Linked DNA regions of Stegostoma tigrinum. The protein of the gene in region 3 binds, or shares a complex with, the protein of the main gene of each other region. Links are inferred from orthologs where the notes say so. Each region holds a gene or a part of one and is shown on either strand. Other genes may lie near its edges. The genes, in order: arpc5lb, arpc2, actin-related protein 2/3 complex subunit 1B-A-like and actin-related protein 2/3 complex subunit 5-like.

The links.
Region 1: the proteins of actin-related protein 2/3 complex subunit 1B-A-like (region 3) and arpc5lb are in contact, whole or in part, in a cryo-EM structure (PDB 6YW6), measured with the Homo sapiens proteins. The link is inferred for Stegostoma tigrinum from reciprocal best matches to the Homo sapiens genes ARPC1B and ARPC5L. Residues at the interface, in NP_005711.1 of Homo sapiens: Arg118, Lys138, Arg142, Phe164, Ser201, Gly203, Trp204, His222, Asp223, Ser224, Thr225, Leu240, Ala241, Ser242, Glu243, Thr244, Leu245, Pro246, Phe281; in NP_112240.1 of Homo sapiens: Asn21, Lys22, Arg102, Gly139, Leu140, Gly141, Ile144, Arg145, Thr148, Arg150, Lys151.
Region 2: actin-related protein 2/3 complex subunit 1B-A-like (region 3) and arpc2 share a complex: the UniProt entries of both Homo sapiens proteins name them as parts of the arp2/3 complex. The link is inferred for Stegostoma tigrinum from reciprocal best matches to the Homo sapiens genes ARPC1B and ARPC2.
Region 4: actin-related protein 2/3 complex subunit 1B-A-like (region 3) and actin-related protein 2/3 complex subunit 5-like share a complex: the UniProt entries of both Homo sapiens proteins name them as parts of the arp2/3 complex. The link is inferred for Stegostoma tigrinum from reciprocal best matches to the Homo sapiens genes ARPC1B and ARPC5.

What each region holds. Positions count from the first base shown.
Region 1 is NC_081382.1:26,287,827-26,295,739, forward strand, and holds the start of arpc5lb (actin related protein 2/3 complex, subunit 5-like, b), read left to right. Parts: upstream 1-4,895; 5' UTR 4,896-5,056; coding exon 5,057-5,196; intron 5,197-7,913. Other genes in the region: rpl35 (large ribosomal subunit protein uL29), read right to left, coding at 1-27, 1,236-1,372, 4,612-4,614. UniProt on the Homo sapiens protein: May function as component of the Arp2/3 complex which is involved in regulation of actin polymerization and together with an activating nucleation-promoting factor (NPF) mediates the formation of branched actin networks.
Region 2 is NC_081360.1:104,225,870-104,233,428, reverse strand, and holds the start of arpc2 (actin-related protein 2/3 complex subunit 2), read left to right. Parts: upstream 1-4,544; 5' UTR 4,545-4,637; coding exon 4,638-4,711; intron 4,712-7,559. UniProt on the Homo sapiens protein: Actin-binding component of the Arp2/3 complex, a multiprotein complex that mediates actin polymerization upon stimulation by nucleation-promoting factor (NPF).
Region 3 is NC_081376.1:12,211,204-12,218,654, reverse strand, and holds the start of actin-related protein 2/3 complex subunit 1B-A-like, read right to left. Parts: upstream 3,009-7,451; 5' UTR 2,798-3,008; intron 1-2,797. UniProt on the Homo sapiens protein: Component of the Arp2/3 complex, a multiprotein complex that mediates actin polymerization upon stimulation by nucleation-promoting factor (NPF).
Region 4 is NC_081361.1:45,984,424-45,991,339, reverse strand, and holds the start of actin-related protein 2/3 complex subunit 5-like, read left to right. Parts: upstream 1-3,908; 5' UTR 3,909-4,020; coding exon 4,021-4,161; intron 4,162-6,916. UniProt on the Homo sapiens protein: Component of the Arp2/3 complex, a multiprotein complex that mediates actin polymerization upon stimulation by nucleation-promoting factor (NPF).

The DNA.
Region 1 (7,913 bases), on a different chromosome or scaffold from region 3:
CTTGCAATGGACTTCCGCACGACACGACTAAAGAGAGAGAAAAACAATTATAACACCAAGTTATAAACCTTGTCAAACTCTGAAACTAAAAAAAAGGTAAGATGTAGAAACAGGAGCACTTTAGCTCCTGTGGATCTCGCACTCCCAGATTTATTTTCTTTGGGCTGAACTACATGGTTCTGCATTGTAATTTAAGTCAATTTCAAAGTACTTTAGAAAGTCAAACAGTCTCTTTGGAGCACCATATCATGCCCACCAAATAGCAGTAAAATCATTCAAACCTCCAGAACACTGACTCACTACCAGCTGGACTCCAAACCTGCCAATGCATTTTTGAGAAGGTTTGTAGCACAGGTTGTGGATGAGGTTGTAGACATGCTCGCCAAGCCAGTATATTTGTATATTTGATTGCAGATGTTTCATCACCCTGCTCAGTAACATCGTCAGTGCACCTCTGCCATGTTCTGTCTTATTGTTATGGTCTGTTGCGGAGGTAGCCACGGATTGTGCTTTTTGGGTATACATTCTTTTTAAATACTCTGTATAAGTGCTCCTGGCCTGCTTTTTGCACAGACTACAACTGGAGACAACATGGCCAGAAACACTCGTCATCCTACAGACCCCTAAGTATCAGGGTACCCCACAAACCAACAACACCCTGTGACAGTAAAGCATTCCACACCAACAACCAAGAAAACTAATGTAATATACAAAATACCATGCAAGGACTGAGAAACATTGCACAGGCCAAAGTGGAAGAAAACTGACAATAAGGATACACAAATACACATTAGCCACTAAGAGACACAACCAATTCTCACTAGTCTCAATACAAGCAGACAAAGAAGAACATAAATTTGACTGGGACAACTCATCCATAACAGCACAAGCCAAACAGTGACATGCCAGCGAATTCCTGGAAGCCTGGCATTCCAACCAGAACTCCATCAACATACGCATTGAACTGGACCAAAGATACAAAGCACTGAGAAACAAAACCGGAAGTAACGCCAAACACCCCAGCAAACCAAGGCACATAAATAACAAGCGGGACAGAACATCGATGCTTCACCAGAGGTGCACTGACAATGTCACTAGCAGGATGACGATAAGTCTGCGATCAAACACACCAGCTCGGTCAGCAAGTCTCCAAACTAATCCAAAGCTGTCCTTTCTAATAAGCGAGATTTTAAAATCACTGGCATGTTCAAAATATCTCAAGCCTATATACTTACATTTTGGACAGTTTGGATGCAGCTCCTCCAGTTACTTTTGCCACACGGAGCTGGGAGAGTTCAACCTTGAGGTCATCCAACTGTTTCAGTAACTCCTCCTTTTTCTTGCCGCGCAGATCACGTGCCTTGATTTTTGCCTATATTTAATAAGAACCACCATGTTACTGTCACACAAACAAAGCCTCCAAGTGGACTCGATCAACAGTACACACATTCGAAAACTGAAGATAATACAAGTAGCTGTTAATGCTATATGGAGCAAGAGTTGGTCCTTCAACTTATCAGGTTTTTCAGCTAGATCTTTGCTAACCTGTACCTTAAACCCCATTTAGCAGTTTCTAATCCAGATAACCCGTAAGCAGAAATTTATTAATCTAAGAATTTTGATTGACCCAACCAGTACAGCTTTAGAGGGAGAGTTCCAGATTCACAGTACCAATAAAGCCCTAATTACAATGCCACAAGGTGCAAAGTATAGCAACTTTAACAAGTAAAATATCTCAAGGTATTTCCAGAGGCTTCATAAAACCAAGATTTGGTACTGAGTGACATCATACAATGTTAGAGTAAAGGGCCAAAAGATTGGTCAAAGTGGCAAATTTTAAGAGATGCTGCAAAGGAAGAGTGGAAGAGATGTGTGTGTGTGTGTGTGTGTGTGTGCGTGCGCGCGCATGTGTGTGGGGTGGCTGCTTTTGTTGTTGAGGGTGCAAATTCCAGAGCTCGGTAAATGCAGTGCTGATCACTGTGTATAGGAAGGTCATGATTGCACTAGAGGGCTCGCACAGGAAATTCACCAGGATGTTTCCTGGGATGGAGTATGTTAGCAATGAAGAGAGGTCAGATAAGCTCAGGCTATTTTCCTTGGAGCAGAGGTTGAAGGAAGAACTGATTGAGGTGTACAAGATTATGAGGGGCACAGACAATGCAAATAGATAGCAGCTGTTCCTCTCAATCAAGGGGCCAAGAGAAAAAAGGCACACTTTTAAAGCAAAAGACAGGAGGTTTCAAGGGGAATGAGAGTCAAATCTTTTCACCTAAAGGGAGGTGAAGTTCTGGAATGCACTGCCTGAGGGCAGCTGAGATGTGTAACTGTAAAACATTTAAAAAGTACTTGGACAAACACCTGTAGTGTTATAACATTCAAGATTATGTGCCTTGTGGGAAAATAGGACGAGTGTAGGTATTAGCATATTTTTCACAGTACAGACTCAATGGGCCAGACAGCTTCTTTTACACTGTACGATTCCATTCTGAGTGCACAGCTGAAACCATAGCCACCAGTGATGGAGTGACAGAATTTGGGGATGCTCAAGGTGACAGAATCAGATGAGTGCATGTAACCAGGAGTGGCGGCAAGCTGGAGTTGACCACAGAAAAATATAAATATCAAGCCAGAGTGGCTTCCAAACAAAAGCAACTAGAAATGAGCAATAAATGCTGGCCAGCCAGCAACACACACATCACATGAATGAATTTCAAAAAAAGACACTATTCAATATGAAAGAGATAATGGGAACTGCAGATGCTGGAGATTCCAAGATAATAAAATGTGAGGCTGGATGAACACAGCAGGCCAAGCAGCATCTCAGGAGCACAAAAGCTGACGTTTCCGGCCTAGACCCTTCATCAGAGAGGGGGATGGGGGGAGGGAACTGGAATAAATAGGGAGAGAGGGGGAGGCGGACCGAAGATGGAGAGCAAAGAAGATAGGTGGAGAGGGTGTAGGTGGGGAGGTAGGGAGGGGATAGGTCAGTCCAGGGAAGACGGACAGGTCAAGGAGGTGGGATGAGGTTAGTAGGTAGCTGGGGGTGCGGCTGGGGGTGGGAGGAAGGGATGGGTGAGAGGAAGAACCGGTTAGGGAGGCAGAGACAGGTTGGACTGGTTTTGGGATGCAGTGGGTGGGGGGGGAAGAGCTGGGCTGGTAGCAACTCATATTCCGCCTGGGAACCCTGCAGCCATATGGTATCAATGTGGACTTCACCAGTTTCAAAATCTCCCCTTCCCCCACTGCATCCCTAAACCAGCCCAGTTCATCCCCTCCCCCCACTGCACCACACAACCAGCCCAGCTCTTCCCCCCCACCCACTGCATCCCAAAACCAGTCCAACCTGTCTCTGCCTCCCTAACCGGTTCTTCCTCTCACCCATCCCTTCCTCCCACCCCCAGCCGCACCCCCAGCTACCTACTAACCTCATCCCACCTCCTTGACCTGTCCGTCTTCCCTGGACTGACCTATCCCCTCCCTACCTCCCCACCTACACCCTCTCCACCTATCTTCTTTGCTCTCCATCTTCGGTCCGCCTCCCCCTCTCTCCCTATTTATTCCAGTTCCCTCCCCCCATCCCCCTCTCTGATGAAGGGTCTAGGCCCGAAACGTCAGCTTTTGTGCTCCTGAGATGCTGCTTGGCCTGCTGTGTTCATCCAGCCTCACATTTTACTATTCAATATGAAACTCCTTTTCCCATTCTTCTCAAAGTTACGAGGATCAAATCTGCAGCGAGAAGTACATTCACCATTTTACCAGATGGGTACACCCACAACACTGAAGAAATCAGACTAGTGCAACAAACCAACATGCTTGAACACTGCAACCATCACTGGACACCCACTAGTTGTACTGCAGCTAAATATCAGAATTCATCACAACTCACCAAGCTTTCTCTAACAACACCTGACTAGCCCAGTAACCACTATCACGAAGCAGAATGGAAAAAAAGATGAAGAGGATCACTATCAATAGGTTTCCCTCTTGAGTCACCAAGAGGAGTTGACCCTGATTTCTTCACCTTAAGAAACCCCCAAAACCTCACTGCAGTTGGGAAGATAGCAACTGAGGCATCAAACGAAAAAGCTGCTCACAATCGGAAGGGAGAAGCAACAGGACCACTATTATCGCCAATTTCAAAGACGTATAGAAATGTGGAGTAAAACCAAGACTTTCTTCGGCGGCGGGGTGGGGGGGGGGGGGGGGGTGAAGACTGAAGCTGATATCGTTGAGCAATGCCACGGGTGATCCAGCGGGACGTCTGGAGTCGCAACAACTGTCTAAACGCTCAGGCAGCTCCCGCCTGATGTGCCCCTCCCGCAGACTCCGCTCGACAGGCCCCGCATCTCCACAACTCCCAATGGCGGGGCTACCTACGCGGACCAGGCAGCGGGGCCGCCATGTAAAAATAAGAGACACACCGCGGCCTGCGGATCATCCGTCGCAGTTTAAACATAAAATCTAAAAAGAAATCCTAAATAACTGGCGGAGCCGATAAAGGGGAGCCTGAGGATTCACAAGAGCCAGCTACTCCCGCTGTAGAGCCAGTAGTTTTTCGGGATGAATTAGGATTCTCCAGTTAGCAGGAGCAGACAACCTACAGACTCCTACCATTTTCTTGGGCAAGCGCAGGAAAAGACAGGCCTCGCGGGCGGGGCCTGTATTTCCACGTGATAGGACCTACCATCCATTTCACGGAGGGGAGGATTCAGCGCGATCCATTATGTCAAACGTTTAACTTTACACAAACATCGTCGTCTTTTAGAAACCTACTTGTTTTATTTTCTTTATAGCCCGTCGTTGTAACTCATTTAACGACGGGGTTCAGTCATCATTGAGTTTTGTTGATTTTGCTTACCGGCCCTCTCCCTGAGATCGTGCATTCCAGAGACTGTTTCCGGTTCCGGGTCGAGGTTCGGCAGGCCCCGCGTTTGAGTGGAAGCAGCGCGATCGCCCGGCGCCGATGCAGCCTCCGGCTCAGTAGGTGCGGGTGTCGGCGAGGGAGTGGCTTATCGTCCCCATTTAACACTTGCTCTTTTAACATAAGTAGGGGCAGATGGCGAGAAACACGCTCTCCAACAGGTTCCGGAAAGTCGACGTTGACGAGTACGATGAGAACAAGTTTGTGGATGAGCAGGAGGAGGCGGTGGAGCAGCAGGGGCCCGACTCGCTGGAAGTGGACACTCTCATCAGGCAATATCCTTATGGCCCGTCTCCCTCTGCGTGCGCGTGTTTGTGAGAGACCAGGCGCTGGCAGAGCGCCGCATGACGCCGGGAGGGAAGGTGACAGCTCTCCCCTCCCCATGACCACGGACCTCTCACTCTTTTTCACCCCCTGGGAACCGCACCCGCTCTCAAACTGCTGCCGACTATTAACTGCGCTCCCGGGCAGCCTGGAGCACCCTCGACTGAAGTTAATGGCATTGCTTTCGCACTCATCCTTCACTGGATTGCTTCATTTTCATCGAGTTTGTCACTTAACTGACGACTTCAGTGTGAGTTTATTATATCATGTGCAGAATTTGTCATTTTGGAGATTTGTTTAAATACCTTTTATTTTTTTAATTTCCAATATTTACCCCGCTGTGATCAGCACCTTAAGTCCTCAGTGTGGAAATGGGTGGAAGTACGAACGGGGTTACTGCTGCTCACTTTGTCCCTAAAAATAGCAGAGAGCCACCATTGTACAAGCTGTGATTGTAGTAACAATCAAATGTCAAATGAGACAAAAGATAAAGCCACCCAAAATGACATAAAAGAAATCAATTTGTCAGAACTCAGTTCAAGCTCCAAGCATACCGTCGCTAAAATGAAATCATGATCCCAAAAACGTTGTTCCACCATCCAACTGGCACTGCAGCCCACCGTTTGGGAACCCTTGATTTGAGATTTTGTTCAAGTTGGAAAATAGCGATCATTTTCAGTCACAATGTTAATGTACAGTGGTATTTGAGCATTTTTAGCCAGGTCCTGCATTCTTGCAAATATATAAATTAGTTACAGGACTAGGCCACTTAACCCCTCTGCCATTCAATAAGATTCTTGTGCACTGCCAGTGTCCCTTGAGCCAAATGGCCTGGTTTAAGTCCTACCGGCTGCACAGGTTTGACATAACACTTCTGATAGATTGAGAAAATAAATTGAATTTGATTGTGGCTGATCTGATTACTCCACATAATATTGTGTGTGGTTGAAAGATTATCCCCACCTTTGTCATAAATCTATTTACTTCTGTCTTAAAAAATTCAAAGACTCTTCTTCCATCACTTTTTGTGGAAGACTTTTCCAAAGACTGATGACTTTCTGGGAAAATTCTCCATATCTGCCCTAAACAGGTGACCCCTTAGAATCTCCCACGAGAAGAGACTTCCCTTCCATATGCACCCTGTCAAAGCTTGTCAGGATTTTGCTTCAAACAAATCACCTCTTACTCTTCTAAACTTCAGAATTAAGGTTAGCCTGTCCAGCTTTTCTTCATAAGACAACCTGCCCATTCCAGTTGTGAGATGATAAAAACTGAAAAACCTGTTGACAGAAACAAAAAACAGGAATTTCTGGAAAGCTCAGCAGGTCTGGCAGCATGTGAAGAGAAATCAGTTAATATGTTTTGGGTCTGGTGACACTTCCTCTGACCCTGATTCTGATTTCTCTTCACAGATGTTGCTAGACCTGATGAGTGTAATAAACCTTCTTTGAACTGCTTCAAGGATATCTTATTTCTCTCCTTCAATAAGGAGACCAATACTGTATGCAGTACTATAGACAAATGCCCTGAAAGGCTGAACAGTAATCTACATTTGTATTCAATTTCCTTTACAATAGACAGATTCTATTAGCTTTCCTAAATACTTGCTGTACCTGCACACTAATCATGTGATTCCTTTGAGGATACCCAGATCATACTGCGCCTTGGAGCTCTGCAAACTCACATTTATGTAATGCTTCTGTCTAAATCTTGCAGTCAAAATAAGCATTTTTACATTTTCTCAACTTGTATACCATTTCCCACATTTTTGCTGACTCATTTAAACTATGTTCCTTTGTAGCCTCCTGTGTCCTCTTTTAGTTTACTTTCCTACCTGTCGTGGTGCCTTTAGTGATTATACCTTTGGTCCCTTTGTCCAAGCTGTTCATATAAATTAAAAGTTGAAACCCCAGTACTGATTCTGTAGCCCATTACGACTTAGATTTGCCAACCAAAAATGATCTATTGACACTTCTGTTTCCTGTTAGCTAGCCAATCTTCTATCCATGTTATTTTGAGATGGTTGCACTGTTTAAATGAACTTGTTTTGCTTTCATAAGGTCACTTTTTTTTTGTTGGCATTGTGTGGGTGTTGTTGGCAATGCCAGGATTTATGTCTGTGCCAGTTGCTATAAACTGGTGAATGACATTCTTGAATTGCTACTGTGCATGTACTGGCTCAATGTTTGTGTACAAAATCAATTTTTCTGTGCCATGAGTTCTGAATCACCATAATTTTTAACATTCATTCACAAGAATGGTGTATCTATGGCTAGGCCAGCATTTGTTGCCCAATCCTAACTGAGATGGTGTAGTCTTGAACTGCCACCATCCGTTCATGGATATGTATGCCCATGGCACTATTTGGAAATGAGTCCCAGAATTGCTGGATGATTAACTAAAATTTTTGTTCTGGAAAAAAAAACTCACCAGTTTCTATAGTGTTGTTGGATTTATTACAGATTAACCTCACTACAGTCATAAAGGTCCTGCAAATGATGTGATTTGTGGCACCAAAATGCTGCTACTCCATTGGAGGCACAGATAGGAAATCAGGAAACTGAAGTCTTAGTCAAGTAGGAAAATTGTTCAGAGGTTTTAAAGAAAACTTTTATCCCCCTCAGACCATTTACTTTCCCACTACTTATCTCTTACCCTATGTCAAACA
Region 2 (7,559 bases), on a different chromosome or scaffold from region 3:
GAACATAGCTGATTTGATCAATCAACTCTACTTTCCTGGCCACTCCCTTGATTCCCAGAAAAACTAAAAGTCTTTCTCTCTCAACCTTAAATGTATTGAACAATAGACATCCTCTAGGATACAGAATTCTAAAGATTACAACCCTCTGAATGAAACCCTCTCCTTCTCTCAGTCTTAAATGATTGGTCCCTTTTCCTGATACAGTATCCATGATTTCTCAATTCCCAAGCCTGCGGGAAATGATCTCTCAATGGTTATCATGTAATGTCCTTTCAGAATCTTGCAAGAGAATTAGGTCATCTCTGATTCTTCTAAACTCCAGAGAATACAGAGCCAATTTAATTAGCTTTTCATTATTAACCCTCTTAATCAAGAAACCAACCTAGTGAACCTTCACTGTGCCACTTCAAATGCAAGTATGACCTTCCTTAAGTATTTCAACAAAAATTGCATTCCCAAAAATCTATATTCCAGATGTGGTCTTAACAAATCCCTGTACAATGTAGCAAGACTTATTTTATCTATACTCAAATTCAGACTGACATGCCACTTGTTGCCAGATTTTTTACTGCACATAGAAACATAGAATTAGAAGCAGTGATAGGCCATTTAAATGCTTGAGCCTTCTCTGCTTTTCAATATGCTCATGGCTGAAGATCAAGCTCAATACCCTAATCCCACGTCCACCATATCTCTTGATCTCTTTAACCACAAAGCTATATCTAACTTCCACATAAAAAAAATGTTTTGGCCTCGATCACTTTCTGTGAGAGTAAATTCCACAGACTCACCAGTCTCTAGGGAAGGAAATTCCACTCATCTCAGCCCTAAAATGTTTATCCTTTATTCTCAAACAATGACCTCTAGTTCTGGACTCCCCCAACATGAGAAACATCCTTCCCTCTTCTAATCTTCTGAGATGCCCCACATTCTTCTAAACTCCAGCGAATACAATCCTAAGTCAATCTCATGGCCCGCCACATCCCCAACTCAAACATTACGATCAAGCCAGCGGATCAACCCTGGTTCAATGGAGAGTGCAGGAGGGCATGCCAGGAGCAGCACCAGGCATACCTGAAGGTGAGGTGTCAACCTGGTGAAGCCACAAACAGGAATACTTGCACGCCAAGCAGCAATAGCAGCAAGTGACAGACAGAGCTAAGCAATCCCACAACCAATGGATCAGATCTAAGCTCTGCAGTCCTGCCACTTCCAGCTGTGAATGGTGGTGGACAATTAAACAACTCACTGGGGAAGGAGGCTCCACAAATATCCCCATCCTCATTGATGAAAGAAGCCAGCACATTAGTGCAAAAAATAAGGCTGAAGCATTCACATGATCAGTTGGAGGAGTTGCATTACTGGCCAACAAGCATATCACAGCTGTGCTGAAGGAGGGCATGGTGGAGAACTCACGCAGTGAGGCAATATGGGCAGAGCTCAGAAATAGGAAGGGTGTGGTAACAATGTGGGGGCTGTACTACAGGCCTCTCTACAGCAAGCATGAGATAGAGGTACAAATATGTACACAGATTAAGGAAAGATGTAGGAGCAACAGGGTGATGGTGATGGGAGATTTTAATTTTCCCAACATTGACTGGGATTCACTTTGTGTTAGGAGCTCAGATGGAGCAGAATTTGTAAGGAGCATCCAGGAGGGTTTTCCAGAGCAGTATGTAAATATTCCAACTCAGGAAGAGGCCATACTGGACCTGGTGTTGGGAAATGAGCCCAGCAAGGTGGTTGAAGGTTCAGTAGGGGATTACTTTGGGAATAGTGATCACATTTCCGTAAGATTTAGAATACTGATGGGCAAAGATGAGAGTGATCCTCAAGGAAGAGTGCTGAACTAGGGGGAGGCCAACTATAGCAAAATTCAGCAGGAGCTGGGGAATGTGGATTGGGAACAGCTGTTTGAGATTAAATCCACATTTGATATGTGGGAGGATTTTAAAGAGAGATTGATTAGAGTAAAGGACAGACATGTCACTGTGAAAATGAGGGATAGCAAGGGCAAGATTAGGGAACCATGGATGACAGGTGAAATTGTGAGACTAGCAAAGAGGAAAAAGGAAGCATACAAAAGGTCTAGGTGACTGAAAACAGATGAAATTTGGAAGAATATTGAGAAAGTAGGACCAATCTGAAATGAGGGATTAAGAGAGCTGAAAGGGATCATGAAATATCTCTATCAGACAGGGTTAAGGAAAATCCCAAAGCCTTTTATTCATACATAAGGAGCAAGAGGCTAACGAGAGAAAGGGTTGGCACACTCAAGAACAAAGGAGGGAAGTTATGCGAGGAGTCAGAGAAAATGAGTGAGATTCTTAATGCGTACTTTGCGTCGGTATTCTCTGAGGAGAGGGACAGGACAGATGTTGAGGTTAGGGATAGATGTTTGATTACTCTAGGTCAAGTCAGCATAAGGAGGGACAAAGTGTTGGGTATTCTAAAAGACATTAGGATGGACAAGTCCCCAGGTCCAGATGGGATTTAACCCAGATTTCTGAGGGAAGTGAGAGTGAAAATAGCTGGGGCCTTAGCAGATATCTTTGCAGTATCCATGAGCATGGTGAGGTCCCGGAGGACTGGAGAATTGCTAATGTTGTCCCCTTGTTTAAGAAGGGTAGCAAGGACAGTCCAGGCAATTATAGACCAGTGAGCCTGACGTCAGTGGTGGGGAAGCCGCTGAAGAAGATTCTGAGGGATAGTATCTATTCCCATTTGGTAGAAAATGGGCTTATCAGTGACAGACAACATGGTTTTGTACAGGGGTGGTCATGTCTTACCAACTTGATAGAACTCTTTGAGGAAGTGACAAAGTTGATAGATGAGGGAAGGGCTGTGGATGTCATGTACATGGACTTCATAAGGCATTTGATAAGGTTCCCCATGGTAGGCTGATGGAGAAAGTGAAGTCACATGAGATCCAGGGTGTACTACGTAGATGGATAGAGAACTGGCTGGGCAACAGGAGAGAGGGATTGGAGTGGAAGAGTGTTTCTCAAAATGGAGAACTGTGACCAGTGGTGTTCCACAGGGATCCATGTTGGGACCACTGTTGTTTGTGATAAATGATCTGGAGGAAGGTATAGATGGTCTGATTAGCAAGTTTGCAGATGACACTAAGATTGGTGGAGTAGCAGATAGTGAAGGGAACTGTTGGAGAATGCAGCAGAATATAGATAGATTGGAGAGTTGGGCAGAGAAATGGCAGATGGAGTTCAATCAGGTAAATGCGAGGTGACGCATTTTGGTAGATCCAATTCAAGAGTGAACTATGTGGTAAATAGAAAAGCCCTGGGGAAAATTGGTACATGAAAAGATCTGGGTGTTCATGTCCATTGTACCATGAAGGTGGCAACGCAGATGCATAGAGTGGTCAAGAAGGCAATATGGCATGCTTTCATTCATCAGACGGGGTATTGAGTCCAAGAGTTGGCAGGTCATGTTACAGATGCATTGGACTTTGGTTCGACTACATTTGAAATACTGCGTACAGTTCTGGTCACCACATTACCAAAAGGATGTGGATGCTTTGGAGAGGGTGCAGAGGAGGTTCACCAGGATGTTGCCTGGTATGGAGGGCGCAAGTTGTGAAGAGAGGTTGAATAAATTAGCATTATTTACATTAGAAAGACAGAGTTCGATGGGGGACCTGATTGAGGTCTACAAAATCATGGGAGGTATAAACAGCATGGATAGCAAGAAGTTTTTTTCCCAGAGTGGGGGACTCCATTACCGGGGTCATGAGTTCAAGGTGAGAGGGGAAAAGTTTAAGGGAGATATGCGTGGAAATTTCTTTACACAGAGGGTGGTGGGTGCCTGGAACGCGTTGCCAGTGGAGGTGGTAGAGGCAGGCACGATAGCATCATTTAAGGTGTATCTAAACGGATACATGAATGGGCAGGGAGCAGAGGGATACAGATCCTTGGAAAATAGATGACAGGTTTAGATAGAGGATCTGGATTGGCGCAGGCTTCGAGGCTGACGACTTGTTCCTGTGCTGTAATTTTCTTTGTTCTTTGTTCTTGGTTCACAGGAACAAAGAGATGAAATATTTGGGAAGCCACAATCCAACCTTGCTTCATGCTGTTTAACAGGCATCTAACCAGTTATGACCCTCAAGATGTACACTCTCTCTACATCAACCCTTGATTTAATATTTCCTACCATTCACCGTATCACAGATATACCTTTTACCTCACACCTTCTTCCCCACTTGCTCTTTCTCTAAATTTGCTTAACAACAGTTATCCTCCAAGCGGTCCAAGTTTGCGTGCAAGTTCAGAGACCTACAACTATCGCTCAAGATTTTAAATTCATTGTGAAATCATCCATCTGCTGAAAGTTAACATCAGTCCGTTTATTTTTTTTCATCTGCTTCTCACTTCTTCCCATTTGTCTCATCTAGGCAGATATGATGATATTTCTCTGAAGGGCTTCAGAAGTCTGGGGAAATAATCCAGCAATGGTGGTGAGATATCCCAGGATGCCCCGGGGTCGTGAAAGGCCCCTGCTCCGCGCTGACCGGCTGCGGAAGTGGTTCTGCGGGTGTGGCTGGGCCTTGTTTCCGGAGAGGGTCTGGAGTTGGAGGAGAGGCCGAGACTGTGTCCGGGTTCCTTGCCGCTGCCGCCATGATCCTGCTGGAGATTAACAACCGCATCGTGGAGGAAACCCTCAGCCTCAAGTTGGAGAATGCGCTCGCGGGGTACGGACCCGGGAAATGCTTCTTCATTGCCGGGCGGAGGGAGGCTCCTGGGCCGGCGCTCAGCTCAGGCCCCGACCCGGACACACCCCTCCCCCCGGATCCCCCTCATCTCCCCTCCCCCCCCGGGATTCCTCCCCCCCCAACCCCAACCCCCCACCCCCCCCACCCCCCCACTCCTCCCCCCCACCCCCCCACTCCTCCCCCCCCCACCCCCCCACTCCTCCCCCCCCCACCCCCCCACTCCTCCCCCCCCCACCCCCCCACTCCTCCCCCCCCACCCTCCCCACTCCTCCCCCCCCACCCTCCCCACTCCTCCCCCCGGGATTCTTTCCCCCCACCCCCTCCCCCTGGGATTCCCCCCCACCCCATGATCCCCCACATTCCCCCCCCCCCCCCACCAGCCCACCCCTCCCCCAGGATCCCCCTCATCTCCCTACCGCAACACCTGGATTCCCCTGATTCCGCCACCAGCATACGCCTCCCACGGGATCCCCCTCATCTTCTCTCCCACACCCCTACCCCCACCCTGGGATCTCCCTCACCCAGCCCTCCCCTCCCCTGGGTGACAAGGAATATTGAAAGTTTAGTCACAAAGTAAAAGGAGGCATATGTAAGGTTTAGGAAACTGAAATCGAACAAGGCCCTTGAGGAAGGAAGCAGAAAAGAACTTAAATGAGAAATTGGGGCCAGTAGGGGCCGTGAAATGTCCTTGGCAAGTACGATTAAGGTGAATCTCAAGGCATTTTATAAACCTATGTTAGGAGCAAGAGGCTCACTGGGGTCCAGTTAAGCACTAAAGGAATTTATACTTGGAACCAGATGAAATGCCTGTAATGAGCACTCCACATCAGTATCCAAAAAGGAGGCCATGTTGAATGGTGAATCTCAGATGGAGTATGTTCTAAGGCATGCTCATATTGAGGACGAGGTGGTGAGTGTCTTTAAAAACACTAAATCCCCAGGACCTGATGACATCTATCTCAGGATAATGAGGGAGGCAGTGGGGGAGATTGCTGGGAATTTGACTGAGATCTTTGATTCCTCTTTCACCACAGTTGACGTCCTAGAATTCTAGAGACTAGCTAGTGTTGTTCCATGTTTAGGTAGAGCAATAGGGCTCGTCCAGGAAATTGTAGGCTTCCGTGCCTTGCATCAGTGGAAGGGAAATTATTGGAAAAGGTTCTTAAGGACAGGATTTATTCACGTTTAGCAAAGAATAGACTTAATAGGGATATGCAGGGCTTTATTACGGGAAGGTCTTGTCTCACGAATGTGAATAGATTTTTTTGAGAAAATGATGAATATGATTGAGGGTAGGGTAGTGGATGTTGTCTTCATGGACTTTACCAAAGCAGTTGATGAAGTCCATCCTGGTAGGCTACTCTAGGAGATTAAGTTGCATGCAGTCCATGGTATGTTGGCAAGCTGCATTCAAAATTGGCCTGGCCCAGAGGAGGTAATAGTGGAAGAGTGTTTTTTTCTGACTGGATCTCTGTGACCAGTGGTGTTCTGCTATGGTCTGTGCTGGGACATCTGTTTGTGTTTTACAATGATTTGGATGAAAATGTAATTGGCCTGATTCGTAGGTTTGCAGACAACACAAAAAATAGAGTTGTGGATAATAGGAGAGTTTGTCAAAGGATACAACAGTATATAGATCACTTAGAAAGTTGGACAGGGAAATGGCAGATGGAGGTTAATCCGAACGAATGTGAGGTGATGCATTTTGGGAGGGCAAATAGAAGAGGAAGTTGTATAGTAAATGGCAGGACCCTGAGGAACTGTGGTAAACAGGAATTTTGAGATGGAAGTCCAAAGCTCCTTGAAAGTGGCAGCACGAGAGGATAGGTGGGAAAGAAGGTGTGCAGCGTGCTTGCTTTTATTGGTCAGGCCACTAAGTGTAAAAGTTGGCAAGTCATGTTGCTGTATAAAACTTTAGGCCATGCTTGAAGTATTGTATGCTGTTGTGGTTGCCACATTATAGGAAGGATGTGGAGTTGCCACCCAGGTTGACAGGGCTATTAAAAAGGCATACAGTGTTTTAGCTTTTATTAATAGAGGGATGGAGTTCCGGAACCAAGAGGTTATGGTGAAGCTGTACAAAACTCTGGTGCGGCCGCACTTGGAGTATTGTGTACAGTTCTGGTCACCGCATTATAAGAAGGATGTGGAAGCTTTGGAAAGGGTGCAGAGGAGATTTACTAGGATGTTGCCTGGTATGGAGGGAAGGTCTTACGAGAAAAGGCTGAGGGACTTGAGGCTGTTTTCATTAGAGAGAAGAAGGTTGAGAGGTGACTTAATTGAAACATATAAAATAATCAGAGGGTTAGATAGGGTGGATAGGGAGAGCCTTTTTCCTAGGATGGTGATGGCGAGCACGAGGGGGCATAGCTTTAAATTGAGGGGTGAAAGATATAGGACAGATGTCAGAGGTAGTTTCTTTACTCAGAGCGTAGTAAGGGAATGGAACGCTTTGCCTGCAACGGTAATAGATTTCCCAACTTTAGGTACGTTTAAGTCGTCATTGGATAAGCATATGGACGTACATGGAATAGTGTAGGTTAGATGGGCTTGAGATCGGTATGACAGGTCGGCACAACATCAAGGGCTGAAGGGCCTTCACTGTGCTGTAATGTTCTATATGAAACAGGTTACCTGTATATTCTGGGTAACAAATTGTCAGAGGACTTCTCTTAATTGAACATAGAACAGTACAGCACAGAACAGGCCCTTCAGCCCACAATGTTGTGCCGACCATTGATCCTCATGTATGCACCCTCAAATTTCTGTGACCATATACATGTACAGCAGTCTCTTAAATGACCCCAATGACCTTGCTTCCACAACT
Region 3 (7,451 bases):
TGTTGAATATTAACATTTAATCTCAAGTTTTAAATACAAGCTGAAGATTGCCATTTTGAACATTATGCCCATGAAGGCCTTTCAAAGGTCTAATTGGTCCCACCCCCTACTCTTGCCCACAGCCCTGCAAATTATGTTTTGAATTCTATGTTTCTGACCATTCCTTTTCCTTCCCAAGACTGTGACAAGTCCAAAATATGCCACGTGATGGTGGCTGAACAGGATGGATGCTGACTGGAGGAATCCAGACCTGTTGGGGACTGTGTTGAAATTAAGGAGTTTCCCATTTCAGATGGAAACACAGGAATCTCTCCACTCAATGTTGCTAGTCTTTGGAATTCTCTGGGGTAAGGTTTATTAAATGTATTCAAGACTGAGTTAGACAGTTCAGATTGACTAGCAGTTAAGGGCTATGGGGGCAGGCAGTGCAATTGAGATAAGCTCAAAATCTGATCAGCCATGATCCCGCCAGAAGGCAGAACAAACGTTTACTTCTGGTCATATATGCCATTCTTCATTTCAAAGCCCCACCTGAAAACATCATCACAGCTTAGTTTAAGCTATTTCATGTTCAACAACAATAGCCAGTCATTTCTGAACAGCAGTGAGAATATTGACTGATTTTTCCCACCCAACTCAACAGCATTGCTACCAACTATAACACTGAGGTCAGTGAGCTTAGCCTCAGGAATAATTGCAGCTTGAAAAACTTTGTTACCCATGCAATGTGCCAGCCCTAAATTCTCTAATTTAAAATGATCTCAATTACAATCTTTATTCTACCAGGAATCATTCTAAAGTCTAGAATAGGTTGACACGACAGTTGAGGTGAGCCAGGATATCAAAATAAAACTAAAATATCTAGCAAAGCAGAAGCATGTCATTATTACCAATCTTCAAAACAGACTGTAGACCATCTATTTAATATAACCAAATTCTCCACCTTTCTCATTAGCAATAAAGTGAACATGATACAGACTCTACACATTGAACTATATCAAAACAACTCAAACACTGCATCCAATGCTTCATTCTATTAGCTTAGAACTTCAAATGGAGATACAAGCTATTTCTATGGCTTTAACACAGCAGTATTCAGGTAATTAGCAGGCGGCTTGGGTTTAAATTTCAGTTTTTAGGCCTAAACTACTCCGACAGCGTTTTCCAAGTCTGTTACCTCTTGTCAAGCGCTGTAAATGCATAGGTACATTAATATCTTCAAATTTCCCTCCAAATCACCCACCATTTTAAATCTGAACACAGTAATGCCATTCTTTCGTTGCTGCTGATCCAAACTCATTACTTTAAACCTAACAGCACCTTGCCAGTATCTTGTTGGCTGTTCAAGGCTGCAGCTCACCGCTACCTTCTCAATAGCATCAGCAACAGACAAATGAATGCCAGTCTTTCCAGTGACACCTACATCTCAATTAGAGACACATCAGTTTAGGGGAGACGGAGATGTTCCAAAGGCCTCTACATTTTTGGACAAGACTTGGATTGGGAACAAAGGAAGAACATGGAGTGTGCTGGTCTTTTATTGAGGTCTTTACAGCCTAATAAAAAGGTGAACAAGGTTGCAGTCTCAAACACAGCTGAAAAGAACTGGAGGTTAAACTGCCCTGTAATTTTTCAGGAGGGAGGGAATAAAATGCAGAAAGAGATTGTGTTGAATTGTTTAAATATATTTTTTAAAATGATAGATATCAACGTTCCTAAAGTAATTCCCGTCAGAATTAAGTGAATAAAACATCAGTCACCACCTTACTCTCGCCCAAGTCAAGATGCTTTACATCCACCCAAGGGAACAGACAGAGGCATTAGTTTAACATCTCATTCAAGATGGCATCCCTGGCAAATCAGCACTCCATCAGAGCCAGTCTCCCTTTATCATGCTCAAATCTGTCAGCAGAATGTAGAACTTCCTGACTCAGAGGGGGCTGTGTTATAGACCGAGTGTTAAGTAATGCTGTAGCATATATTTAAAAAGCTGAACAGAAACATGGCTAAGGAACAGACAATGTCTTTTCACTGACTAATGGTTTCCACTGTTCCAACCCACTGCTGACCACAGCAGCCATATCTATAACATCCTGTTGCAGTGCATCACTCCTGCTCCTCCGAGCACTCCACGCTTACACCACATTTTCCAGAGAAATACAATCCAGGTTCACAGTGCTGGTTACGAATTCTTTCCTAATGCTCCATGCCAGAGCAAACAGGGGCTGAGCATCGAAATTTCATTTTCACTTCCCAAAAATAAAATGACTGCAAGCTTAAAAATTGCAATGTGAAAGTGCCCAATCGAGCATCGCTCAGATCACACAACCTGACAGGTGGAGCTGATAATTCATTTAGCCCACAAGGAGTTAAGTCGACATATTTGAGTGGTTGTGAACAATTTTTAAAAATCCAACTCGTGGATGTTTCTCCCATGGATTCGAAGTTCCAGTTTCGCCGCATCTTTAGCTTCTACGGGACACTGTCCGGGTGAGGCTGGAAATACTCAAACTCCCGTCTCCCATTTGATCAGTTTCTCCACTACTAACCGTCCTGAAAGTTCCTGCTAACTGGTTCATAACATACCGTTTCCCAGACACAAAATGGTCAAGATTGTTACTTACTCTGCGACAATGTGGAGCAATTTCTTGGAACGAATATGGCATTTAACTACAAACAGTCATTACACATTCCTGCCCCAAAGTCAATACTGAAAGGCTTCAGTGAAAGAAGCCCTTACGCAAACAAACTGACAGCCCGCGCTCTAAAAAGGAGACAACCAAAACAGTGAACTTACCTGCACAAGAAAACACAATGAAGCAGTTAAGAAGAAATGTAAATCTCCTTGCTTTTATATTTAAAAAAATTCAAAGTTGCCTCAGTTCATGGACTCTGTTCCGTCAACATGAACGGCAGTGCAGTAGCTCCAGCAAAGGGCTGAGAGACTGCTGCACTGAGAAGCTGCCTCTACTTCCCCTTCCTTTCAGAGAGATCCGACCACTTCCTGATGTGGGCGGCTGGTTCTTCCACCAGCTGCCTTTACATGAGTGCTTAAGTGCAGCAGGGCTGTGCAAGTCTCCTCCCTCCCTACTTGCTTACTTGGTTCCTACGATTCTAATAGGCACTCCGCACACAAACCACTCAGCCCTGTGCCGTATTTACGCTCTGTGGGTCATAATGGAATTGCTACATAGAGCTAAAATGGACACAGTACAGTTATACGATTCTCATTGTATTCAGCGAGTACCAGTCAATCTTAAAAGCTATTTTACCTCGTGCATTTCTTCAGTTTCAATATGAAGTCATCGAGTCTACCGGCTCTTTGCAACTGCTGATCAATGAACCTCAGTCCCTAATCTGTTCATAATATCAGCCTCCAACACTGCGGTTAAAGAGCAGCGGTTTGGGGATGTTGCATGAAGGAGTAAGGCTCCTTGGGTAGTATTGGTATTGTACTAGCAGGCAGAAGGAGGAAATTCCAATCCAATGTGCTAATTTTGCAAATCTTAGAAAGGCAGACATTGAAGTATTTTACAGTTTTTGGACTGGGACGAGGAGGAGAGGGAAGGCAACGTTTCTGTCCTGTAATAATGGGAACTGCAGATGCTGCAGAATCCAAGATAACAAAGTGTGGAGCTGGATGAACACAGCAGGCCAAGCAGCATCTCAGGAGCACCTGAGATGCTGCTTGGCCTGCTGTGTTCATCCAGCTCCACACTTTGTTATCAACGTTTCTGTCCTGTTTGTTCTCCAAAGTCCGTATTAACTAGCTGCAGAAGCACTGGCTGAGAATGGTGTCACTGTATCATCCTGTGTGACCAAATTCAGTCAATGCTCACTGGCTGACAAACTTGATAAGAGATGCTTTTGCACAGTCAGCTGAAGCTCAGGTGGTGTCATTCCCACCTTGGAGTCAGAGGGTTGCCAATTCATGATCTATTTTAAGCATAACATCTAGGCCAGCATACCCGATTCTTTTTCCCCCACCGTGAGTCCATTTCTAGACTTGAAAATTGTTGTGACTTCTTAATGAGAACTTGGGTGGAGGAGTAGGGTTTTTTGGGGGGGGGGGGTGGTTGTAGCTTCAGAGAAAACAACAGCCTCTTAGAAATGAGCATGCTGCTAGAACTTGGAGCCCCATGGCAGATATTGCTGCCTCAGAGTTGACAGCCCCAAAATTTCAGCTCGTGATTCCACTTTATGGTCCCAATACCCCCTCCCCACCCCCATCCACCCCCCTCTCCCCCAAAGTGCTAATGTTTGGAATTAGCTCAAGAATTCCAGTTTAAAGGATAAACCACAAAGCAATGATGCAATGGATGAGAGGTCATTGAAAGTGAAGCTGGGATATACATGAACAAATATGGGAGGTGCAAGTAAGTGTAGAAGATCCAGGATTTGAAACTTTGCCAAGGGTTTCTTAAATTTTTTTTCAAACAAATCTGTTTAAATTTCTGGTATTGCTATTTTTAAAAAAAATCACCATATTATTATTCAACTGGCTCACTAAAATGTGTTGTAGATGTCAAGGGTGAATGATAGTTGATCACTGAAGAAAGTTTCATATGCTGTAAGACACCTGGCCTGAGCACAGCAATGCTGAAATGGGCAAGGATAGCACAGGTGCCTTCCATGGGTTCACTGCAAACAACTCACACAAAACTTCAGTGAGGCAACCCACAAAAGAATGCTGATGGTGTGGGATTGAGCAAAAATCTCCATCATAAAATACTGAACAGGACTCTGGACTTTTCAAAACTTTTAAAAGTAAATTGGTCAGCTGGGCTGAGCTCTGGAAAAAATATAAAAACACAGAGATGGCTGCTCAGAACCAATGTTCAGCCTGGGATTCCAATTTACACCTCCACTTTAAGAGGTCAACCTAGTAAACCTAACACTCTAAATCAGAACCAACTTTTACACCTTGGGCTACCCAGCACAAGCAGTATGGACCCTACACAGATACCAAACATTTAACTTCAATCAAAATCCATTTATACATACTCAACTATTGGGAAGATAATTGATTTCAGAAGGAAACACCAGGAACGGTGAGGACAACACAGATTTGTGGGGGGATAACTGGACAATTGGTCTGTGTAACTGCTAGCCCTGATCTGACCCGAGGGGAGAGCTTTTTCAACAATAAACTCCTGCATGAACAGCTTCCCCAGAGTTCCAGCACCAACACGCAGCTTCAGAATGGAGAACTACAGAGGACGAACAGAAACTCAGACGGCAACCCAAACCAAGGGTACCATCGCAACAAAGGACATTCCGGGAGCAGGGAAGCAAACCAAGCACGATCCGATAAAGAGCTTCCAGACACAGGTCTGTTCTGAACCAATAGCAAGAACCTCAACAGCCTGCAGAACTTCAAAACTGCATTTTCCTCAGCGGTGAGCTTAAAGTCCTAAGACCCCAAAAGTTTCCAACCTAGCTAGCAGGGAGGGGAAGGCAGGTGGTGACAGTGCATGGGACTCCAAGGGTTGGAAGCCTGATTAAATTTTGAGATTAAAACTGCTGTTTAGGTTCTAATACTGTTTGAATAGTGTATTTCATTACTGTCCTCTATATAGCTGATAGTGTTACTTTCACTGTTTGTTACATTTACCTTTATTTTCTTGTGTTTTTTTTGTATTTAAGCAGAGATTCTTTTGCCCTGAAATGCCTATCTACTGCCTTCTTCATTTTGCATTTCCTAAATAAGTCCAGTGTCAGAACCAGGGAACTGGTGACAATTCAAACCACCTAAAAATCAGCAAATTACTGAGTACAAACCAGAAGCCTACAATGGTGTTCAACATTTGGAAGTGCGAAGATGTCTGGCACCAATTTGGCACAGAGCTTGAACCCATTCTTTCCAGCATGGAAGTACTGACCAACTCTGTTTGCACACTCGTGGACCAAACCATGATCACAACTTCTACTGAAACCCAAGCAACAGACACTCAATATCTGACTATTACAGTGAACACTGGCTGCTGACAAGTGAGCTCAGCTGCTGCTGTGCAGATTCAGACTGCTGTCATCATGGTTCTGGTTATTACTGTTCAATAGGGTTTGCATGACATTGCAGCATTTCAGCAATCTGTCCAACAGATTACTCGGATTGCTGGTGTGTTTTGCATCATGAATCATGAACTTGGTGCACTCTCACCTCTGTCAATACCCTTCCTGTCACCTGCCAGTGAGTTAACCACTGCACCATGGTGTCTCGGCAATAAAGTTTTCTAGGCCCAGAGTTTCTTGAGATCATGCTCCAAGGTCCAATTGAAATTTCCTCCAATGTAAGTTAGGAGTCTTCTTCCAGGCATACTTAGAATCACTGGAGTAGACCTGCAGGAAAAAGAAACTAGGACAGACAATATCATTTGCAAGACTGGCTCTGAGAGAATAAGGCAATTGGTTCATCTTTTCATGCAAGATGTTGTGGGTTCATGCATAAATTTGGTTTGAAACATTTGTGTTTACATTATCCTTGTATGGGGACAATGTGAATACCGAGATGGTCAATGGCAGAGGAAAGGAAAATTGTTGGAATGTTGGTAAATGGGGAGTAGGCGTTCAGTGCTCATACCATACCCAAATCAGCTTTCAATCTGTCCGCAAAAAAAATTAAGTTGTCGATCCTTCTTCCTTCTCATCAAATAGCTGACAGTATGGGCTGTCATCTGATGATTGCTGTACGACGCATCTGCAGGATTCTGCAGCGTACTGTAGGATGGTTCCAGTGGTGTTCTTTTAGTGCATGAATCCCTGCCCTGTCATTTCATGTGTCAGCATGGTTTTATTTTATACAGACAGGAGTCACCAGCCACCTCATCAGAGGATGTTGTCGTTAACCAGTAACCACTCTGAGTTGTGGCAATGTGACTGTTCCCAGGATATCAGACAATGACCAACATAATTTCCCACCTATGGTCGCACACTATCTGGATATTAAAAGGCATACAATCCCCTTCAGAGATAACAAGGTGCAGAGCTGGATGAACACAGCAGGCCGAGCAGCATCAAAGGAGCAGGAAGGCTGACGTTTCGGGCCGAGAAGCGGGGTCTAGGCGCAAAACGTCAGCTTTCCTGCTCCTCTGATGCTGCTTGGCCGGCTGTGTTCATCCAGTTCTACTCCTTGTTATCTCAGGCTCTCCAGCATCTGCAGTTCCTGCTATCTCAAACAATTTCAATCCCTTTCAGAGCTGTTATAGGACACAGTTGACACAGAGCAGCTGCAAACACAATGTGCTTACAGTCAGGGTCTGCCAATATCAGGTCTTACAAAAACAGGTCAAATTGTGAAGGAGACCCACTGTCTGTTTTTGGACAGGATGGCTACCTGTCCACTGCTCAGAAGCTGAGTGTGGTGGCTAGTGAAAGTAAGTTAGTAAACTCAGCCTTATTTTTAAGCAGAAGAGCAGAGACAGCTACTGATTTTACCTTACTTAACTGACCAA
Region 4 (6,916 bases), on a different chromosome or scaffold from region 3:
CTTTAGCCCAACGGAACATCTGTTTACTTCTGTTGATGAGTACTTCAGCATCTGTTGATTTCAGGGACAACATTAGTGACAGCAGCACCAAGCACCTTCTTGATCCCTCCATATATAGTCTGTGAATTTCTATTGTCACAGGCAATTTGGATTTCCTGCTATAAGTTGATTTGGTGTTTATTTGCACATTATCTCTCTCTATCTTTTGCATGGGTTTCTTGGCCGGTTTAAGGTCATGTGGTTTTTACTTAGCCATTAATTTACATTGTGCGTCATGTAGACTTTGTTTTTTGCATTGAAGACAGGTGTTGTTACAGCTGCATAGGTCTTAAACTTGATGCACAGCCAGATACAGAACAAGGCCTCATACTCAAAATGCATTGTCTGACCTGGCTTGTCATCTCTAGTGTACTGAGGGAACTGATAAAGCATTTATTTATCTTTGGGCTGTGATTTGAGAGAAATTCAGGAATTTGCATATTAATCTTTTCGAACTGATTAAATATTTAATAGCCATTTTAAATTGCTCAACATCACATCAGTTCTATGACCCTTTGATCTTTTGTTTATAAATTCTGCATCCGATGCCACCTCTCTCACTGATACCTGAAGAAGGAGTGAGACTCCAAAAGCTCATGCCTTCAAATAAACCTGCTGGAATATAACCTCATATCATGTCATTTTTGACCTTCACCACCTCAGTACAACACCAGCATCTCCATATCGTGACTTCAACATGTACAAATTTACGTGGCACTTTACTGCCCTCACCAAAGGCTGTTATCCAGAGGAAGGAGGGAAAACCAAGGTTAGGCCCTAATCAGTTGGAGGAGTTGCTAAGAGGTACAAATTTCAGAGAAACCTCGGTTGTCAAATGGGAATCCAGGCTGGATTTTAGGTGTAATTTACTCCCTTAACTATTAACTCTTGACATTGTTGTTGATGTTAACAGGACTTCTCACAACAGTACTCTCTTCTCCCTGGCACTGTTCATAATAGCTGCAGCTTGATTGATAATGTGTATCATTAAAAATATGGCTTGGCCAATATCGTTATCCAAAGCTTTCTTTTCAAAGAACAATCTATAGATGATGTCCGACCATTGGAAGCACAGTTGCTTTCTCCCCTTTAGATGCTAACCATGGGACGTGGAACCCCGAAGGAGATTAGATATATGTACACAGGCCAGGAAATGAACAATGCAATGTACCTTTCACAGAATACCACACTAGGTGGGCAATACCCACATCCATTGGGTCATGTACGCACTAATTATTTTAAACTATTGAAATATTTTTGGGTAACTGCAACAGTGGTATTCTGTGCCACCTGAATTTTGATCTGATTGGTTCCAGATGATGTCACTCATAGATGCACAATCCAGCTTCTTCTCTCAGGGCTTTAGTACACTGAGCGATCTCGAAACTTACAAGAAACAGCTTGCAGAGCGGGTTTGTGTGAAGCTTGTAAAATGCTCCTGTATTTTCATTCTGGACTGAGCACATTAACTCTGTTTTTCTCTGCGCAGATGCTTCAGGCCTGCTAAACTTCTCCAGCACTCTCTATGTTTGTTTTAAATGCCTTTATTTGGTGATCCATCATTCTTGTTTTTCCACAAGTAAAACAAACCCAGTCTGACAATCCTTTTTGATTAAACATGCCCACGCTGTTAAGGTATCATCTACACAAATCAGTCCTGAATTGAAATGCTGGGGTCACACTGGGAGGCAGAAAAGGCTGTTATGGAAATCTGACTAAATGCTTAAAGCTGCACCTCCCCTTTAAACTGTTGGAAATTTTTTGCAGTGAGTGAAGCCTAAGCAGCCAAACTTTGAGGCCTGAATGATGTGTTGATAAATTTTGTGGATAACTAGGTGTTGTTTAAATGTAAAAAGTCTATGGATGAAGCAGTTCCATTCTGTTAATCCCAGGTCTCACATATTATTATCTGAATGGCAATTCATTGGGAAAGGCGGAGGTGCAACAAGGCTAGTGTGTCCTCATACACCAGTCACTGAAAACAAGTATACAAATGGAGCAGGCAGTGAAGAAGGCAAATGGTGTGTTGCCAGCTACAATGTGAGGACTCAAATATAGGAGCAGGGATGTCTTGCTATAGAATCTTGTACAGGGCCTTGATAACAACTGTAGTATTATGTTCGCTTTTGGTCACCTTACCTAAGGAAGGAAGTTCTGTCTACGAAGGGAGTGCAACAAATGACAGAATTAACTGGAATGACAGGACTGACATACAAAGAGAAATTGTACCGATTAGGACTATGTTCACGATTCATAGAAACTGATTAAATTCTAACAGGTCTAGACATAGTAAATGCAGAAAGGATGTTCTCAATGACCAGAGATTCCAGAACCTGGGGTCATAGCCAAAGGTTATGGGCAGGACTGAGAAGAGGAGAAATTTCTCCACCCAGAGTGCTGAGCCTGTGGAATTCTCTCACAGAAAGTGATTCATGGCAAAACATTAAATGTTTTGAAGAAGGAATCAGACATAGTTCTTAGGGTATGGGACAAAAGCAGGAACAGGATATTGTATAGAATGATCAGCCATGACCATATTGAATGGAGGAGCGGGATCAAAGTGCCAAATGGCCAACCCCTGTTCCTATTTTCCATGTTTTTATCTCCCCCTACCTCAACACCCCACCATACCTCCAGATCCGGGCTCAGATTTGTTGTCAGATGCCAAAATGGGGTCACAATGTGAAAACGTTTGGGAAGTAAGTGTTGTAAACCTTCTTTAATCCCACTTCACTGCCTCAAAATTCTTTTTATAACACAGGAATGCCACAGTATCTTTTGTCTTAGCTTACCAAGATTTTAGCCAGGCAAATTCAGTATCACTTCTCTCACTTTCAATTTGATTTGTCTAGAAATAAAGCCCACTGCAAGGGTTCCCATTTTTGTGGACAGGCTTTAGTGATTGATGTATTTGCATTCGCAGCTCGCCTTGCTCCTCTGCTCATCAGATGCTCACACCTTCCAGATAATAAGTGCCCCCTCCCTTTCTTCTTGCCCAAATATACTTCATCCTGTCATCAGGTCTGAAGAAGAGTCATGCGGACTTGAAATGTTAACTCTGTTTCTCTCTACACCTCAGATGCTGCCTGACCTGCTGAGCTTCGTCAACATTCTATTTGTTTCACTTTGTCTTACCTCTGAGTTAGAAACATAAACCTAGATCAACAATGCAAGCTACAGCATGGTAAGACTCACTGCAATTCAGCAACAATTGGAGAAGAATGTCACAGAAAGTCTTGTGGCGTAGTGGTAGTGTTCTCACCTCTGACCAAGGGGGCTGAGTTCTTGCCCTCCCCGCCCTGGAATAGAAACGTTATGAAACAACCAGGATAAATGTTCAGTGTCAATCTTCCAATTGTGGTGGAGGAACACAGCAGGTCAGGCAGCATCAGAGGAGCAGAAAAGTCGAGGTTGGCTTTCCTGCTCCCCTGATGCTGCCTGACTCGCTACGTTCCTCCAGCTCCACACAGTGTTATCTCTGACTCCAGGATCTGCAGTCTCTGAGGGTAAAGAGGGTCGTATAGCGCACTGGACTCGGAGACCAAATACAAGTCCCACCTGCTTCCAAAGGCGTGTTAACAACACCCTTGAACAGGTTGCTTAGAAAAATATCAAAAATACCCAAAAGAGCACGGATGAGAAATGTATGGAAGGAGCAGGCAGTGGAGCTAGTTTTGTTTGGAATTATGCTCGGCATAACCTGGTTGTCCTGTTTCCGTGCTGCACAGCTCGACATCAACCTTCAGTTGCTGTGAACCGACACAGCGCTCACGCTTCACCTGGGCAGGTCTCGGGGGCGCTTATGCGCGTACGCGGCGTGCACGCGCTTGGGGCGGTGCGCAGGCGCAGAGTGGAGCGGGTCTTCCCTCCACCTCTGACCCCCCCCCCGCACCAAGACCGCCCCGTGCGGAAGCGGTGGCCTCGAGTTCAGTGAGTGACGGTTGGAAGCTGCTCCGTGTTGTCTCTCCTCTGCCCGGCGACATGTCCAAGAACACCAGCGCCGACAAGTTCCGTCGGGTTAATGTCGATGACTACGACGAGAACAACTACGTGGACGAAGAGGAAGGAGGCGAGAACCAGCTGGGTCCCGACGAAGTCGAAGTGGACGCTTCCATCAGGCAATATCCTTCCTGAGTTCGGGCCGCGGGCGTCGGGTGGGGAAGATGGAGGTGGGGAAGCGGCGGTACCGGGGCTCTAGGCCCTCGGGCCAACTCAGGAATGAACAGTACCTGAGGATGCAGTCCCAGAGAGAGCGGTACCGGGGCTGTACAGTCCGGGTGGCCCGCTTCCTTACAGACTCTGAACTGTTCATTCACTCAGTAGGAAGTCCCTGCCTGACGGCTGCACCCGCTGCATTTTCTTGTGATCTGGGCGTGGTGTTTTTTTTATAATTTAACTTGCATTGCAACCGTTTAAACATTATCTGAACACCTTAATTATTTGAACTTCTGCATTTAATGCGATTGGTTTATTTATTTTTGAAATGTTTCCTTTACCGGCGAGATTTAGCTCTAAGAATCTCTTGTATTTGCATAGTGTCAGTTGCATTCTAGGGTGGGACACAAATGCTGAAGCTTTGGCCCCTCTCGGAAGAACCTGGCTGAAGGTTCAGTCCCGAAGTAGGCTAGGATGTCGGTTAGTTTAAGATCAAGGCAGTGGCAGTTTGCCTCAGCTAAACAGGGGATTCGTAGAACAGACAGGCGTGAGGATATGAAGAAGTTTAAAGATGACAATTTTATTTTGCTTTCGTGAGCGTTTCAGTTCATATTTACGGAGGGTGGATATTACGGGAGTGTACTGTTAAATGCAGGCTGGGACTTGGATATTTGTGGACTGGAATTCTTGCAGGTTGTAATTCAGGAGACAGTTGAGGATTGGATTGGATGAATCAGGCTAAGGGTTGCATTAAGCAAAAGGTCAGAGTGCTTGACAGAATATCAAACCACAGAAGGACACATTCGGACAAGTGACCAAAAGCTTGTTTGATTTGACAGGCTTTCAACAACATCTTAAAGGAAGAACTAAAGACGTGTAAGAAGGGTATTTCAGATCCTGGAGCCTGAAGGCATGGTTGCGAGTGGTAAAGCAGTGAAAATCAGGAATGAGCAAGATGTGTGGTAGAATTGTTCAAGTGGAAAAGGGCAAGAAGCATGGCTGTGGAGGGAGTTGAAAACAAGAAGATTTTTAAAATCAGGGAATACCTGAATGGGAATCATTTTAAGTCAGTTCAAACCATAAGACATAGGAGTGGAAGTAAGGCCATTCGGCCCATCAAGTCCACTCTGCCATTTAAATCATAGCTGATGGGCATTTCAACTCCACTTCCCTGCACTCTCCCCATAGCCCTTGATTCCTTCTGAGATCAAGAATTTGTCGATCTCTGCTTTGAAGGCATCCAATGTCCCAGCCTCCGCTGCACTCCGTGGTAATGAATTCCACAAGCCCACCACACTCTGGCTGAAGAAATGTCGTCTCATTTCAGTTTTAAATTTACCGCCTCTAATTTTAAGGCTGTGCCCATGGGTCCTAGTCTCCCCTCCTAATAGAAACAACGTCTTAGCGTCTACCCCTTCTAAACCATACATTATCTTGTAAGTTTCTATTAGATCTCCCCTCAACCTTCTAAACTCTAATGAGTACAATCCCAGGATCCTAAGCCGTTCATCATACTTTAAACCTACCATTCCAGGGATCATCTGTGTGAATCTCCGCTGGACACGCTCCAGGGCTAGTTTGTCCTTCCTGACCTGTGAGGCCCAAAATTGGACACAGTATTCTAAATGGGGCCTAACTAGAGCTTTATAAAGCCTCAGAAGCACATCACTGCTTTTATATTCCAACCGTCTTGAGATAAACGACAACATTACATTCGCTTTCTTAATTACGGACTCTACCTGCAAGTTAACCTTTAGAGAATCCTGGACCAACACTCCCAGATCCCTTTGTACTTCTGCTTTACGAATTTTCTCACCATTCAGAAAATAGTCCATGCCTGTATTCTTATTTCCAAAGTGCAAAACCTCACATTTATTCACATTGAATTTCATCAGCCATTTCCCGGACCACTCTTCTAAACTGTCTAAATCTTTCTGCAGCTTCCCCACCTCCTCAGTACCACCTGCCTGCACACCTATGTTTGTATCATTGGCAAACTTCGCCAGAATGCCCCCAGTCCCTTCATCCAGATCATTAATATATAAGGTGAACAGCTGTGGCCCCAACACTGAACCCTGCGGGACACCACTCGTCACCTATTGCCATTCCGAAAAAGAGCCTTTTATCCCAACCCTCTGCCTTCTGACAGGCAGCCAATACAGCAAACAGGTGATAAGTAAGTGGGATAACAAGGTGTAGAGCGTCTGGTTTTCTGAAGAAGGGTTTTGAGCCAAAACGTCAGCTTTCCTGCTCCTCTGCTCCTTGGCCTGCTGTGTTCATCCCACTCTACACCTTGTTATCTCAGATTCTCCAGCATTGGCAGTTCCTGCTATCATAAGTAAATGGGACGTAGGTTAGCAAATGGGCAGTTGTGTTTTTGATGAGTTCAAGTTTGAAGACATTGCAAGGTCGGAAGCTCACCAGTGTGGAAAGATTGGTAATAAATATACAACTAACTAAGGCATCAACTAGATTTCATCGGTAGATGAAATGAGGCATGTTTAGGACAGGTGATGTTACAACCATGTAAGTGGCAGTTTTGGCAGTAGAGAGGATGTAGGGTCAGAAGTTCAGATCAGGGTTGTTTGTAATGGCAAATTTGTGAACGTTCCAGCTTCAGACTGTGCCCACAAGCAGGTCATTGAAGGGAGATTACGGCATTTTTTTTTGATGGCAGTAAATAAAGATCAAGAATGTAAAGCGTGAGGAAGGTGATAATTAA